Linked DNA regions of Xenopus tropicalis. The protein of the gene in region 1 interacts with the protein of each later gene in a biochemical or structural test. Links are inferred from orthologs where the notes say so. Each region holds a gene or a part of one and is shown on either strand. Other genes may lie near its edges.

The links.
Region 2: the proteins of peli1 (region 1) and ube2v1 form a complex in vitro, tested with the Homo sapiens proteins (3 studies listed by BioGRID). The link is inferred for Xenopus tropicalis from reciprocal best matches to the Homo sapiens genes PELI1 and UBE2V1.
Region 3: of the proteins of peli1 (region 1) and irak4, one has a biochemical effect on the other in vitro, tested with the Homo sapiens proteins (4 studies listed by BioGRID and IntAct). The link is inferred for Xenopus tropicalis from reciprocal best matches to the Homo sapiens genes PELI1 and IRAK4.

The regions. Positions count from the first base shown.
Region 1 is NC_030681.2:32,546,691-32,551,474, reverse strand, and holds the start of peli1 (E3 ubiquitin-protein ligase pellino homolog 1), read right to left. Parts: upstream 2,942-4,784; 5' UTR 2,665-2,941; intron 1-2,664. UniProt on the Homo sapiens protein: E3 ubiquitin ligase catalyzing the covalent attachment of ubiquitin moieties onto substrate proteins. Involved in the TLR and IL-1 signaling pathways via interaction with the complex containing IRAK kinases and TRAF6.
Region 2 is NC_030686.2:36,460,452-36,465,292, reverse strand, and holds the start of ube2v1 (ubiquitin-conjugating enzyme E2 variant 1), read left to right. Parts: upstream 1-1,564; 5' UTR 1,565-1,662; coding exon 1,663-1,684; intron 1,685-4,841. UniProt on the Homo sapiens protein: Has no ubiquitin ligase activity on its own. The UBE2V1-UBE2N heterodimer catalyzes the synthesis of non-canonical poly-ubiquitin chains that are linked through Lys-63.
Region 3 is NC_030679.2:64,416,505-64,421,126, forward strand, and holds the start of irak4 (interleukin-1 receptor-associated kinase 4), read right to left. Parts: upstream 3,278-4,622; 5' UTR 3,200-3,277; exon of another isoform or gene 3,189-3,199; intron 2,750-3,188; exon of another isoform or gene 2,652-2,749; intron 1-2,651. Other genes in the region: pus7l (pseudouridylate synthase 7 homolog-like protein), read left to right, coding at 4,584-4,622.

The DNA of each region.
Region 1 (4,784 bases):
AACACATACAGTATGTGGAAAAAGTACAGTTACTATGGGTGGGTGATATCGGGCGAATTCAGGCTAATTCGGTCGTTTGGCGAGCCGATGCGGTCCCCTGATCTGACTAAATTTTTTAACCTGCCCAATCAATATCTGTCCAATTTCAGGCCAGATATCAGTCAGGCAAGGCCTGTCGTTGGTGCCCCTACATGGGCGAATCAGTCTAAGGGACGATATCAGCAGCTAGAATCGGCCCGTGTATGGCCACCTTTAGGGCTCTGGCACACAGGGAGATTAGTCGCCCGCGACAAATCTCCCTGTTCGTGGGCGCCTAATCTCCCCGAGTTGCCTTCACCTGCCATCCCACCGGCGACAATGTAAGTCGCCGGTGGGATGGCACACGCGGCGGCGCTATTTCGAGAAATCGCGAAAAAGACTCGCGAGGTTCGGGGGGGGGGGGGTTGGTCGCCCGCGAACAGGGAGTTTTGTCGCGGGCGACTAATCTCCCCGCGTGCCAGAGCTCTAAGTGTGCAACATGTACACAGTAATAACAAACAGAATGAGTACATGAGCCCAGACAAATACGCTTGGAGGATTAACTGTATGAGAGAACAATGAACTAAGCTCACAGAACTGCTCCCATGCCATAATACACAGCTGGCCCAGGAAGGCTCCAACAACAGAGAGGAAGCTCTCATTTTAACAAGGGGAGTGGGAAAGAAGAAATGAAAAAAAGACATGACTGGGTGGAATGCATACAGGAAATTGCTTAAAAAGGGGGAAAAAAAACCCAAGGCATCAGTATGACAAGAGACAAGCAATGCTGCCAAATAAGACTGAATTAAGATTCTCCATGAATGGGACAAGACAAGGGACCTTGTGTTTGATTACAAAAAGGAAGATACCACAAAACGATAAACAGTACAGCCTCGAGCCATATCTGTATATTTAAAACAGGATCAATAGTAACCAGCTTTCTTATAAAACGTAATGTCCAACCTTACATATTAACTCCTATGCTACCAAAAATGGTACAATGACATGTATATTATGTTCTCTGTCATGTGGTCATATACAATTAAACTTGAAATGTGGAACAGATTACACAAAGCTACTATAATGCTATCGGTTAATAAAGAGTATATGCATACAAAGCAAGTAAACAACCAAAGGTATTTGTAGAAACAGACTGGGAGTTGAGCAGTCTCAGAAAAACACCAGGCAGTCTGTGTGGGTTGGAAGTGTGCGTGGGGCAACAGCTGCCAAACAAATATAAAGACCCAAGGAGGGTTCACCAAAGGTGGAAGGGAAAATAATGCCACAATCTAGCATAGCAAATGCTCAACAGAACAGCAATCTTCATACTAAGGCCTTGTGCACACTGCAGACCAAGTGTGTCCAATTCATCTAGTGTAAAATCTAAAATCACCTAATCCAGCTGTCTTGAGATTTAAATCAGTCAAACTGAAAATTCAAATAAAGAGAAAAGTATTCAGACCCAAATAAAAGCATGGCCATTTAGATTAAAGAGGGTGCACGGCTGCCCATCCAACACTGCAACTTGCAGGATCTTCTCTCCAAATTGGCAAGAAAAGAGGGTGCAATGTTGGTGTTTCTGGCTAAAGGTGGCCATACACGCACCGATAATATCGTACGAAACCTCGTTTCGTGCGATATTTGGTGCGTGTATGGTATGTCGGCGAGTCGACCGATATTGCAGGAAGCTGCTGATATCGTCCGACTCGCTGATCGGACCAGTTGGAACATTTTGATCGGGCGCCATAGAAGGCGTCTGACCAAAATCTCCCTTCAGCGCTGAATCGGCAGAAGGAGGTAGAAATCCTATTGTTTCTACCTCCTTACCTGCCGATTCAGCCCTGAATGGTGTGTGGTGGATCTGACGATGTTTCGTGCGACCGATGGTCGCACGAAACATCGTCAGATCGTCACGTGTATGGCCAGCTTTAGTCAGAATAATTTAGAGCACAATACTCAAAAGATACAGATACAAAAGATACCTATGAAGAACTAGGCCTCGCTCCTGCTACATATTGTAAGCCAGATGGTCCAATGAGTAAGATAAAATGATAATAATTAGATGACTCTATTGCCATAACCTCTCAGATCAAGTCCAAGTGACAGAGAGAGTTGCAGCAACCAGAACAATCTGACCAACATTTCCACCAAAACTCAACTCCTTTCACTACCATGGAAATTGGCAATTGACGTACATGAGCTTCCCATGCAACTGAGAGGATATGATTCACAATTAAACCACGTTAAACGTGATGTACCACAGACATCCCTGCACAACTAGCGCACAAATGTGTACATTAGGCCTGGGATGGTGTCATGCTGATTTAGTTGGTTAAAGATGACAGCGAAATCCAACCTGATGCTAAACAGCTATTGATGAATTGCAGCTCCCAAAGCCCCCCACCCCCAGGCAGGGTGTATGTGTGTGCAGCCCCCGGGATAGTGACGAACACTCCCCCCAGCACAGGCTGGAGTGCCGCAGGTTGGCCATGCCCGGTCTAGCGCACCCTTTCCTTGCCAGCAGTAAAGCTTTATAGCAATGTGGCGATCACTGGGTTACGAGGCGCGCACCCGAGGCAGATTACAACTACACAAACGGGGGGGGGGGGGGGGGGGGGGGGGTAGATGTAGGTTCTCACGACTTACATAGCAACCGGGCCCCCGCACACGATTTTCCGTATTCCTTTCGCCTCCTTGTAAACCCAGCTGGGCGCTGAGGGCGGAACAGAGCAGCACCTTGCCTTTACCCCAGGCAGTGACCGTGTAATGAATAAAAGCTGGGAATATCCCCTCTCGGAGACCACTTCCTTCTACGCCTCCGCCTCTTCCTTTAGCGAACAATAACTGGATCGTTCCCGTTGTCTCCCAGCTAGAAGCAGCGATTGCAGCAGCAACAACGCTTGTGTGAGGCGCTGGGAGGCGAAGGAATGGCTAGGCTGTGACGTAAGCAAGCAAGGCCGGAGAGGCACGGCTTGTTTGCCGCAAGGAACTATGGGATGTGTAGCCATAACTCTGTAGGAAATACAGCAGAGGGAGTGTTGTTGCTTTATAGTGTGTAGGACAGCAGAGTAGCTTACCTCAATCAATGTATTTCTATGAATTATTAACATTTTAATCCTGAATCTGTAAATAAGGGTAAGGGGTTAGTTTGCCTGGTAAAGTAATAATTGTTCACAAAACTATTTCAAACTATTTCAGATTTACTAGCAAGAACATTCATTTAGGGATACATATAGGCAATACATTAGGGCATGTGGGTTAAGTTGGTGCCCTGTACTAATGTATTTAGTAAGGGGGAATTCAAAATACTTGTGGCAAGGTGTCTGACCATATAGTGGTGTAAAAATTCCAGCAGTATCTAAATTTTGATAGCCACAATTTAAGTATATTGCAATATATGGACAAACAACCCCTGCTTTGCTTAAAGGGGAGGGCATATCTTGGTAGTTTAATGCACAGAATGTCTTAACCTTGACAGCAAGCAAGTTGCATGTAAAACTCAGCCCCTTTGTTAAATGTATATTGAAGCAGTAGTATTCTTAATGAATCAGATAAAAGTTAGTGTAGGACTGGCCAGACCAGGGATAACTTTGATGCAGTTGGCCAGCTTGAATGTATTACATTTATGGACAAACAATCCCTATTTTGCTTAAAGGGGAAGGCTTATCTTGGTAGTCTAATTCGCAGGATGTCTTAATGTCCTATATATATATATTATATATATTGATAATGGGAGTGCAGAGGACCTCTTGTCTGCATGAATTTTGTGGTCACAGCCTCATTGTACCCCTGCCTAATGGTTTAAAATTTAGTGGTAAGCCCAACCTTTTTTTTTGCTATAGTTAATACAGGAACAGTGGCCAGCTCCATCTTGTAGCTCCCACCCTTTCTAGTTACAGTCTAGTCAGGTGATCCCAATGGGTTAATAAAAGGGCAACAATTTTTGGGGGGTTTTAACCTTGAAAGCAAGTAAAGGTGGCCATACACGTAGCAATTCCGATCTTTCATGTAACCAAAGATCATTCCCACCCTCCACTGACGTTCAGGGCTGAATCATCAGATATGGAGGTAGAAACAATAGAAATTCTACCTCCACCTGGCGATTCAGCCCTGTAGATTTTGCTTGGGCGCCTTCAGTGGAGCCTGATCAAAATCTTTTAACCTGGCCGATTGACAACTTGACTGATATCCACAGCCTTTTGCGATATCGGTCGCCTCTTCGAGCCGTAATACACGCACTGAATATCGGTGTGTGCATGGCCAGCTTAAGTTGTAGGTAAAACTCAAGCCCTTTGTTAAAGTATATTGAAGCAGTAGAATTCTTAATGAATCAGATAAAAGTGAGTGTAGGACTGGCACTAACGGTGCTCGGTGTGGTTTGTCCTTGAAGAAGAGCACTGTTAGTGCTCGAAATGTCGGATTTTTTTCAAAGACCCTGTGTGTGCAGCTCTATGCTTCTTTATATATATATATACAGTATATATATATATATATATATATATATTGATAATGGGTGAGTGCAGAGGACCTCTTGTTGTCTAGGTGGCAAACCTAGACATGTAGGGAATACATTAAAGCATATGGGTTAAGTTAGTGCCCTGTACTAATGTATTTAGTAAGGGGGTATTCAAAATACTGGTGCCAAGGTGTCTGACCATATAGTGGTTTAAAAATTCTAGCAGCATCTAAATCCTGATAACCGCAATTGAATTTGGCAAAAGTCCCTTATTACCAGCATTCTAAAGCTAACCATAAAAGGACTCAGC
Region 2 (4,841 bases), on another chromosome or scaffold:
AACAGCAGTGTATAAGGGTATAGATTATTATGTGCTAAGGGAAGCAATATGGTACCTCCTCATATGTATACGACAAATCTTAATATAAAATATTGTGCTCTGGGCACACAATAAGCTGTACCCCCATACTGCACTGTCTAAGGGAAACAATATGGCACCTCCCTCCCATATGTATAAATACAAATATACAGAGAAGGAATGTTCTGGGCACACAATAAGCTGTACCCCCATACTGCACTGTCTAAGGGAAACAATATGGCACCTCCCTCCCATATGTATAAATACAAATATACAGAGAAGGAATGTTCTGGGCACACAATAAGCTGTACCCTCATACTGTACTGTCTAAGGGAAACAATATGGCACCTCCCTCCCATATGTATAAATACAAATATACAGAGAAGGAATGTTCTGGGCACACAATAAGCTGTACGCTCATACTGTACTGTCTAAGGGAAACAATATGGCACCTCCCTCCCATATGTATAAATACAAATATACAGGGAAGGAATGTTCTGGGCACACAATAAGCTGTACCCTCATACTGTACTGTCTAAGGGAAACAATATGGCACCTCCCTCCCATATGAATAAATACAAATATACAGAGAAGGAATGTTCTGGGCACACAATAAGCTCTACCCTCATACTGTACTGTCTAAGGGAAACAATATGGCACCTCCCTCCCATATGTATAAATACAAATATACAGAGAAGGAATGTTCTGGGCACACAATAAGCTGTACCCTCATACTGTACTGTCTAAGGGAAACAATATGGCACCTCCCTCCCATATGTATAAATACAAATATACAGAGAAGGAATGTTCTGGGCACACAATAAGCTGTACGCTCATACTGTACTGTCTAAGGGAAACAATATGGCACCTCCCTCCCATATGTATAAATACAAATATACAGAGAAGGAATGTTCTGGGCACACAATAAGCTGTACCCCCATACTGTACTGTCTAAGGGAAACATTATGGCACCTCCCTCCCATATGTATAAATACAAATATACAGAGAAGGAATGTTCTGGGCACACAATAAGCTGTACCCTCATACTGTACTGTACTAAAGGAAACAATATGGCAGCTCCAATGAAGTTACTTTTTAATCAAGAATTCTGCCTCACGATATGCTCAGTGAGTTTTTTTCAAAAAAAACATGATATCCACTCCCTTAGCTAAAGGCTTGGGCAGTGCACCTGAGCCTCTCTTTCTCTGCAGTGAGTTGTTGGACATATTTAGAATCACACAATAAGCTGTACCATCATACTGTAATGTGTAAAATACAAACATATTTATACAATATAAGAAGACAAGGCCTAGAGATTAAAAAAACATTTTGCTCCCAGAAGCTAGCTATAGGTACATACCTGGGCCATATATTTGCCCATTTAGTTTATTTTTTTTATATCTATCTCATTTTTGACACATTTACACTTTTCCTATTCATACATTTCCCTTATGAAGCATGTCAGTCTCGTTTATGACGCAAGACGCAGCACGTAATGACGTATTGACGCCGCCTCTTCCCGTCTCTATGGTGCGTGTGAGTCAGCCCTTTCTCCCCGCCCACTCCCTGCCTGACAGCCGGCTGAAGCTCCCCGCCCTGTGTGGCGTCACTGGGAGGCCGGCTCAGGAGCACTGCGAAGGCAAGATGGCGGCCACCACGGTCTCGGGTGAGCTGGGTGACGGGGCGCTGCGGGACAGGGAAGCGGGGGGAGGGCTTGCTGAGGGCAGGTTGCACCGCCGGCCAGGAACTGGCTTCTCTGGGGTTCCTGCTGTACTGTGGGGCGGTGCCTTGGCCCGGGTAGCGCTGCTGCGGGGCCTTCGCACCTCTCCGCACGGCTCTGCCCTGTCAGGAGCCCCGGGTTCCTGCTTGTGCCGGTAGCGCGGAATCAGCTGCCCCCGGAGGCCTGGGAGGGAAGCACTAGGTGTTACAGCTCCCAATCCGCCAGTGACAAGACTCGGCCCTGCCTGCACTGCTGTTCCCCCGGGCTGGGCGGCTGCAGAGGGCTGCCTGGGCTCTCCCTTACTAATGCCGGGCAATCAGACATGTTTGACAGCTGCAGGGCCACACGTTTAAAGGGGAACACCGCCCACAAACAGGATTTATTGCAGAAGAATTACTCAGCAACGTCCCAATAGTCACTGACTTCCACTGGGTTTTGCCACATAGGCAAATGAAAATTCTATGTGCTCTGCTGGTACTGACTCCTGAAGCAATGTAGCAGAAACCAGGGGATTAATAGTGCAGTCAGGACTAGAGAAAAAGGCACTACATTCAGTTTCTAATTGTTTCCCCATCAGTAGTGTGGCCTAAAGGTGGCCTTACACTGTAAGAAACGCTTGCTTGGCGAGGGCGCCCATAGAGTGGATCTCCTCCCGATATGCCCACCCTAGGGCCAAATTATCAAATTAAAACAGTGGGCATAGGCACCGTTAGTGCAGTGACTGCATCAATGAGGTCCCCGGTCCGACAGAAGAATCAAACCTGCCCGATCAAGATCTGGTGCCCATACACAGGCAGATAAACAGGGAGATTGTTGGCGCCCATACACAGGCAGATAAACAGGGAGATTGTTGGTGCCCATACACAGGCAGATAAACAGGGAGATTGTTGGTGCCCATACACAGGCAGATAAAAAGGGAGATTGTTAGCGCCCATACACAGGCAGATAAACAGGGAGATTGTTAGCGCCCATACACGGGCAGATAAACAGGGAGATTGTCGGTGCCCATACACAGGCAGATAAACAGGGAGATTGTTGGCGCCCATACACAGGCAGATAAACAGGTAGATTGTTGGCGCCCATACACAGGCAGATAAACAGGGAGATTGTTGGCGCCCATACACAGGCAGATAAACAGGGAGATTGTTGGCGCCCATACACAGGCAGATAAACAGGGAGATTGTTAGCGCCCATACACAGGCAGCTAAACAGGGAGATTGTTAGCGCCCATACACAGGCAGATAAACAGGGAGATTGTTGGTGCCCATACACAGGCAGATAAACAGGGAGATTGTTGGTGCCCATACACAGTCAGATAAACAGGGAGATTGTTGGTGCCCATACACAGTCAGATAAACAGGGAGATTGTTGGTGCCCATACACAGGCAGATAAACAGGGAGATTGTTGGTGCCCATACACAGTCAGATAAACAGGGAGATTGTTGGTGCCCATACACAGGCAGATAAACAGGGAGATTGTTGGTGCCCATACACAGGCAGATAAACAGGGAGATTGTTGGTGCCCATACACAGGCACATTGGATCTAAAGGACTGATATATTGGCAGCTGAAATCAGCCAGCGTATGGCCATCTTTACTCAGTTTAGGGGAAACAGTAGTTTTTTTTTTTTTTTTTTTTTTTTTTTTTTTAAGCCCCCGGCAGCACTAGACTGCCCTCACCAGGAGCGAGCTCCCCAAGTACCTGCCACAACTCGCTCATTATGCGCATGCTTGTGACATAGGAGGGTGAATCGCATACGTGGGAAACAACATGGCTGCCCGCACTGGGAGCTGCCTCCATCAAGCTAATGCACTGTATCCTATGGCCACAAACTGGCACCTTCCCTAGTTCCCTGGGGCACTATAGGAAGCACAATACATAACTTCATATTAATATTCTGTCATGTTAGACATCCAGTCTGTGCCCGTGCAATGTCCTGCACCCCCAGGGCATTATTTTCAGGTGCCCTGGAATCCCTTGAATACTTCCTTCTAGGTAGATTGAAGTCTGGGCAGTACAGTTAGCTGGTAGATAAGTGACCATTCTGTCTGGTCTCAACATGAATCTCAGCCTCAGTTTGGACAGGTTAAACAGAACTGTTTGGGTCCTGTATAAGGGTGAAGACACACTAAGCTACTAGTAGCAGCTACTTTCTCATGGCTATTAAACTCCAGAAAATCCCCTGCCATAGACAATACTGAGAATTGCCTCTGCTAAAACACACATAGAGACAATTATCAGTAAATGATCAGCATTGTCTATTTTAGTAGCCGTGACAAGTAGCTGCTACTAGTAGCTCTGTGTGTCTTCACTCTAAATATTACTAGCAACTAACTTGATTTGCCATTTCAACAAGCCTAGATGTCTCCTTATGGATAAAAACTAATTCCTAATATGTATGCTTTCATTGCTATATGCCATGGTAATTTAATTTAACAGGGAATTTACCTCTTCAACAGGTTTCACCCTCCCCCTTTCCGAATAGGAAGTGTTGTAACTTTCACAGCTTTTCCCTTGAGGTTTAGCAGTTTTTTTTTTTTTAATATATAGTTTGTGATACTAAAAGACCTCCAGGCTATCCATACATGCTCGGGATTGTAATGTAGATACTGCAAGTTGCAGGTTGTTGGTTCCTTTTTCTTTAATAATGCAATCCTTTCTCTTTTGCTTTCGTTTATTTAAAGACAAATGCAGTTTCTCGGCTAGGGTAATGCCAAAGGGGGGGGGGGGAGTGCATGGTCGAGCGTTTCTGTATCGCACCGACCGTTCCTGAATTAAGGTAACAAAGGGGTCTTGCTGTGCTAGCACCTGTCTTTTTGGCAGCCGATGGCCAAGGGCAGGGCAGTCTTTTTTGAAAAAGCAGGTTGTGCCACTGACAGAATTAATTGTGTCGTGGTAGGACAGGACAATGAAAACTGTGCCCATTAGTATTTGTGGGCAGGGCAAGTGCCATCTTAAAAGAGCAGGTTGTGCCACTGACAGAGAATTAATTGTGCCCAGCTAGGTCTGGACAATGAGAACTGTGCCCATTAGTATTTGTGGGCAGGGCAAGTGCCATCTTAAAAGAGCAGGTTGTTCCTCCGACAGAGAATTAATTGTGCC
Region 3 (4,622 bases), on another chromosome or scaffold:
ATTTCCACATAGGTATGACAGGGGGCAAAATAATATATACAGTCAATTACTATCTCAACAAAACTGTTAGAGAACTGTAGACTATGTATTACTTATGTGGAAACTGGTGATTTACTGGTTTATAGCCACTGGGTTTTTATGTCACGTCATTGCTTAGCAGCATTCTTTTTACAGTGGAGGAAATAATTATTTGACCCCTCACTGATTTTGTAAGTTTGTCCAATGACAAAGAAATGAAAAGTCTCAGAACAGTATCATTTCAATGGTAGGTTTATTTTAACAGTGGCAGATAGCACATCAAAAGGAAAATCGCAAAAATAACTTTGAATAAAAGATAGCAACTGATTTGCATTTCATTGAGTGAAATAAGTTTTTGAACCCCTACCAACCATTAAGAGTTCTGGCTCCCACAGAGTGGTTAGACACTTCTACTCAATTAGTCAACCTCATTAAGGACACCTGTCTTAACTAGTCACCTGTATAAAAGACACCTGTCCACAGAATCAATCAAGCAGACTCCAAACTCTCCAACATGGGAAAGACCAAAGAGCTGTCCAAGGATGTCAGAGACAAAATTGTAGACCTGCACAAGGCTGGAATGGGCTACAAAACCATTAGCAAGAAGCTGGGAGAGAAGGTGACAACTGTTGGTGCAATTGTTCGAAAATGGAAGGAGCACAAAATGACCATCAATCGACCTCGCTCTGGGGCTCCACGCAAGATCTCACCTCGTGGGGTGTCAATGATTCTGAGAAAGGTGAAAAAGCATCCTAGAACTACACGGGAGGAGTTAGTTAATGACCTCAAATTAGCAGGGACCACAGTCACCAAGAAAACCATTGGAAACACATTACACCGCAATGGATTAAAATCCTGCATGGCTCGCAAGGTCCCCCTGCTCAAGAAGGCACATGTGCAGGCCCGTCTGAAGTTTGCCAATGAACACCTGAATGATTCTGTGAGTGACTGGGAGAAGGTGCTGTGGTCTGATGAGACCAAAATAGATCTCTTTGGCATTAACTCAACTCGCTGTGTTTGGAGGAAGAAAAATGCTGCCTATGACCCCCAAAACACCGTCCCCACCGTCAAGCATGGGGGTGGAAACATTTTGCTTTGGGGGTGTTTTTCTGCTAAGGGCACAGGACAACTTATTCGCATTAACGGGAAAATGGACGGAGCCATGTATCGTGAAATCCTGAACGACAACCTCCTTCCCTCTGCCAGGAAACTGAAAATGGGTCGTGGATGGGTGTTCCAGCACGACAATGACCCAAAACATACAGTAAAGGCAACAAAGGAGTGGCTCAAGAAGAAGCACATTAAGGTCATGGAGTGGCCTAGTCAGTCTCCGGACCTTAATCCAATAGAAAACCTATGGAGGGAGCTCAAGCTCAGAGTTGCACAGAGACAGCCTCGAAACCTTAGGGATTTAGAGATGATCTGCAAAGAGGAGTGGACCAACATTCCTCCTAAAATGTGCGCAAACTTGGTCATCAATTACAAGAAACGTTTGACCTCTGTGCTTGCAAACAAGGGTTTTTCCACTAAGTATTAAGTCTTTTTTTGTTAGAGGGTTCAAAAACTTATTTCACTCAATGAAATGCAAATCAGTTGCTATCTTTTATTTAAAGTTATTTTTTCGATTTTCCTTTTGATGTGCTATCTGCCACTGTTAAAATAAACCTACCATTGAAATGATACTGTTCTGAGACTTTTCATTTCTTTGTCATTGGACAAACTAACAAAATCAGTGAGGGGTCAAATAATTATTTCCTCCACTGTATGTGCTGAGTATGGAATTTTGCTGCATACCCTACTGCTTCCATTCCACCTTATCTCATTTAAACCTAAGTTGTTCAACTTAAAGCTGCTGAACTGATAAAAAATGTGTCATACATCAACAAAGTAAAAACTGAAAAGGAATCAACTTTCTTGTCCTTTAATGTGGGATCCCACCCGCAACTTGACTAGGCAGAAAGTGGCAAGCATGGTTTTAAAAGGTTTCTGCAACCTAAGGCTGATGCCACACATGGCGTTTTTACGCTGCGTATTTTCTAATTCTCTCGGTGGCTGAAAAACGCACAATGTCATGATCCATAGAAATAACTTGAAAAGACTCGAAGCAAACCACACAATGCGTAAATACGCTAGAAAACGCCTAAACCACGGAATTTTCAAGCGTTTGCCGAAATACGCCAGTATTTGCACAGCAAGCTATTCCTATGTATACTCAAAGGCAGCTGCCAGACCTAGCGGAAATACGCGGCGTTTTTTACTATTTCGCACTATTAGCACCATGGAAACGCAGAAAATACGCAGCGTAAAAACGCCACGTGTGGCATCAGCCTAAGCGTACCAGATTCCCCCCTTCTCCTTTAAATCCTGACTGTACTACATGAGGTGTTGTTCCATAAGTCCACACCTTTTCACACATTGCAAGGGCCCAGCTAAGAGGTTTTTACCGTGACTGTATTCTACTCGATGAGTAGCTGAAGCATTGCTGTAGGCCAAGATAGGGTTAAATTTACATAAGGCATAGACCTATCCTTGTAGCTGAGGACAAAAGACACAGCTCTCTCAAGCTCAACTGCCTGATGCATTCAGTACCATTTAAGCAGGTATTATTCTGCGCCTGTAGGGAGTATACTCACCAGCTATGATAGATACTGTAGCCCTGCCACTCAGGCACTCACAGGTACCCAGCGAGTACAGAAGTACTGAGCACCTAGGCGCTGTAGTGCTGGAGGCAAACGCCACACAGGCTAGTTGCAATGAGTCCTATTACTGCCCTGTAACTTCTAATTTCCTACTTCTTCTAGAACATTTCCGCATCCTCTTTCACTTGCACAACACCAAAAACTCCGGTTACCAGGCATGCCAGAGACTTCTGAGTTGCGGCTATAACACGCGTGCGCAGTAACGCAAAACGCCGCTCTCCTGTTCTAAGTACAGCGAAGTAGTTGCTTTTTCTATCTGCTAGAAACTATGATCAGTACATCCTCCATGGCACTACACTGATGGAGCCACGTTGTTTATTCTGGCACCCATAACCGCATAAATTAATCAGACCTGTAGGCAAAGAATGAATGAAGTTACACACATAACAGCCAGGCAGTTCAGTATAAACTAGTGCAGCCTAGTACGTATCTTATTACTAATGAGAGGGAATAAGCCGTAACACAGCTCAGTGAGAAATTACACGAAGTAGGGCAGGAAGGATAGTGGGTGGAGTTAGAGTTGTGGCGTCCGACAACGGAAGGAGGAAGTGACTGCGCCATGTGGGTGAGCGGCTGAGTGCTGCTAATGTGTTAGGTTACCTGTTGCGGTACAGCGGTTGCTGAGCTGAGGCATGTTAAATGTTCATGTCTAGATATGTTGTTAGCGTACGGATAGCTAGAAAGAGGTCTTATAGTGCTTATTTGTCAGCGTTTGGAGCTGTGTAGGTGGCAAGAGACAGAGCGAAATGGGCGCAAGAAGCACTGTCTGTGGTAGTCTGGCCAAACATACACACAGTGAGCACAAGAAGGAACATATTTATGGAAGGAAAACATACATCTGGCCTTGGCCAGCCAAAAAATAATATAAGACTTTTGTGAGCAATTGGCCAGTGGACAGACATGACTTTTTGAGAGAGAATGTTTGTGTTTATTATAGGGAGCTGCCAGGCACAATTTGTGTGTTCGTCAGTTATCCTCAATTCATCTTTTAGTTTTACAGGAAATCCTTAGTTTCTGGCATGTATTAGGGATTGGAATTAAATATAGAATTATTGGGTAAGGATCCAAAACAGAAAAAAAAATATTCAAGCAGTAAAGGTACACACCACATGTTTTGGGCATAGCCCTATATCAAGTGTGAAGTGAACAATACTATATAGCAGGGATCCCCAACCTTTTTTACTTGTGAGCCACACAAAGCATGATAAAAGTTCTTTGGGGATGTCAAATAAGGGCTATTATTGGCAATTTGGTAGCCCCATGTGGACTACTAGCCTGCTGGATGCTCTGCTTGGAATAAAACTGTGTCTCTGTGCTTCCAGAATTTGCCTCCAAGCCAGAAATGTAAAAATGGGCATCTACTTTGAGGCCACTGGGAGCAACATGTTTTTCACAAGCAACTGGTTGGGGATCACTGCACTGCAGGTATTTAACCTGTACAAGCCCCTCCTCTTGATTCCAATTGGCTTTTAATAGTTGAGTGGAAAAAAGGCCCCAGTGTACAAGGCCTTCAGTGTGAATCGTAGTCTATTACAAATCCAATGTTCATAGTGTCAGTAGTCCGAATACAGTATTTATAGTTGATATACAGTGACGTTACTTAAAGCACATATCACTAGCCATAACCTTAAAAACAGATCCAATGAAATGGCTATGTATTATATAATCAGTACTGATCAACAGTAGAGGCACATGGTGAACATCCACAGTGACTTCTCCTATGAAGTTATCCCCTCCTTGGGGCCGCAGAGGACAATATTCTTGTAAAGTGTACACCTATGACTGTTATTTTTGGAGGTTTTGCACTAATCTTTCCTTTCACCCAGATTTATGTATTATGTACTTTCAGGTTTATAGATTTCTGAAATGGAAACAGAGAGTCTGTCTCCCACTGTTTTTGGTTCT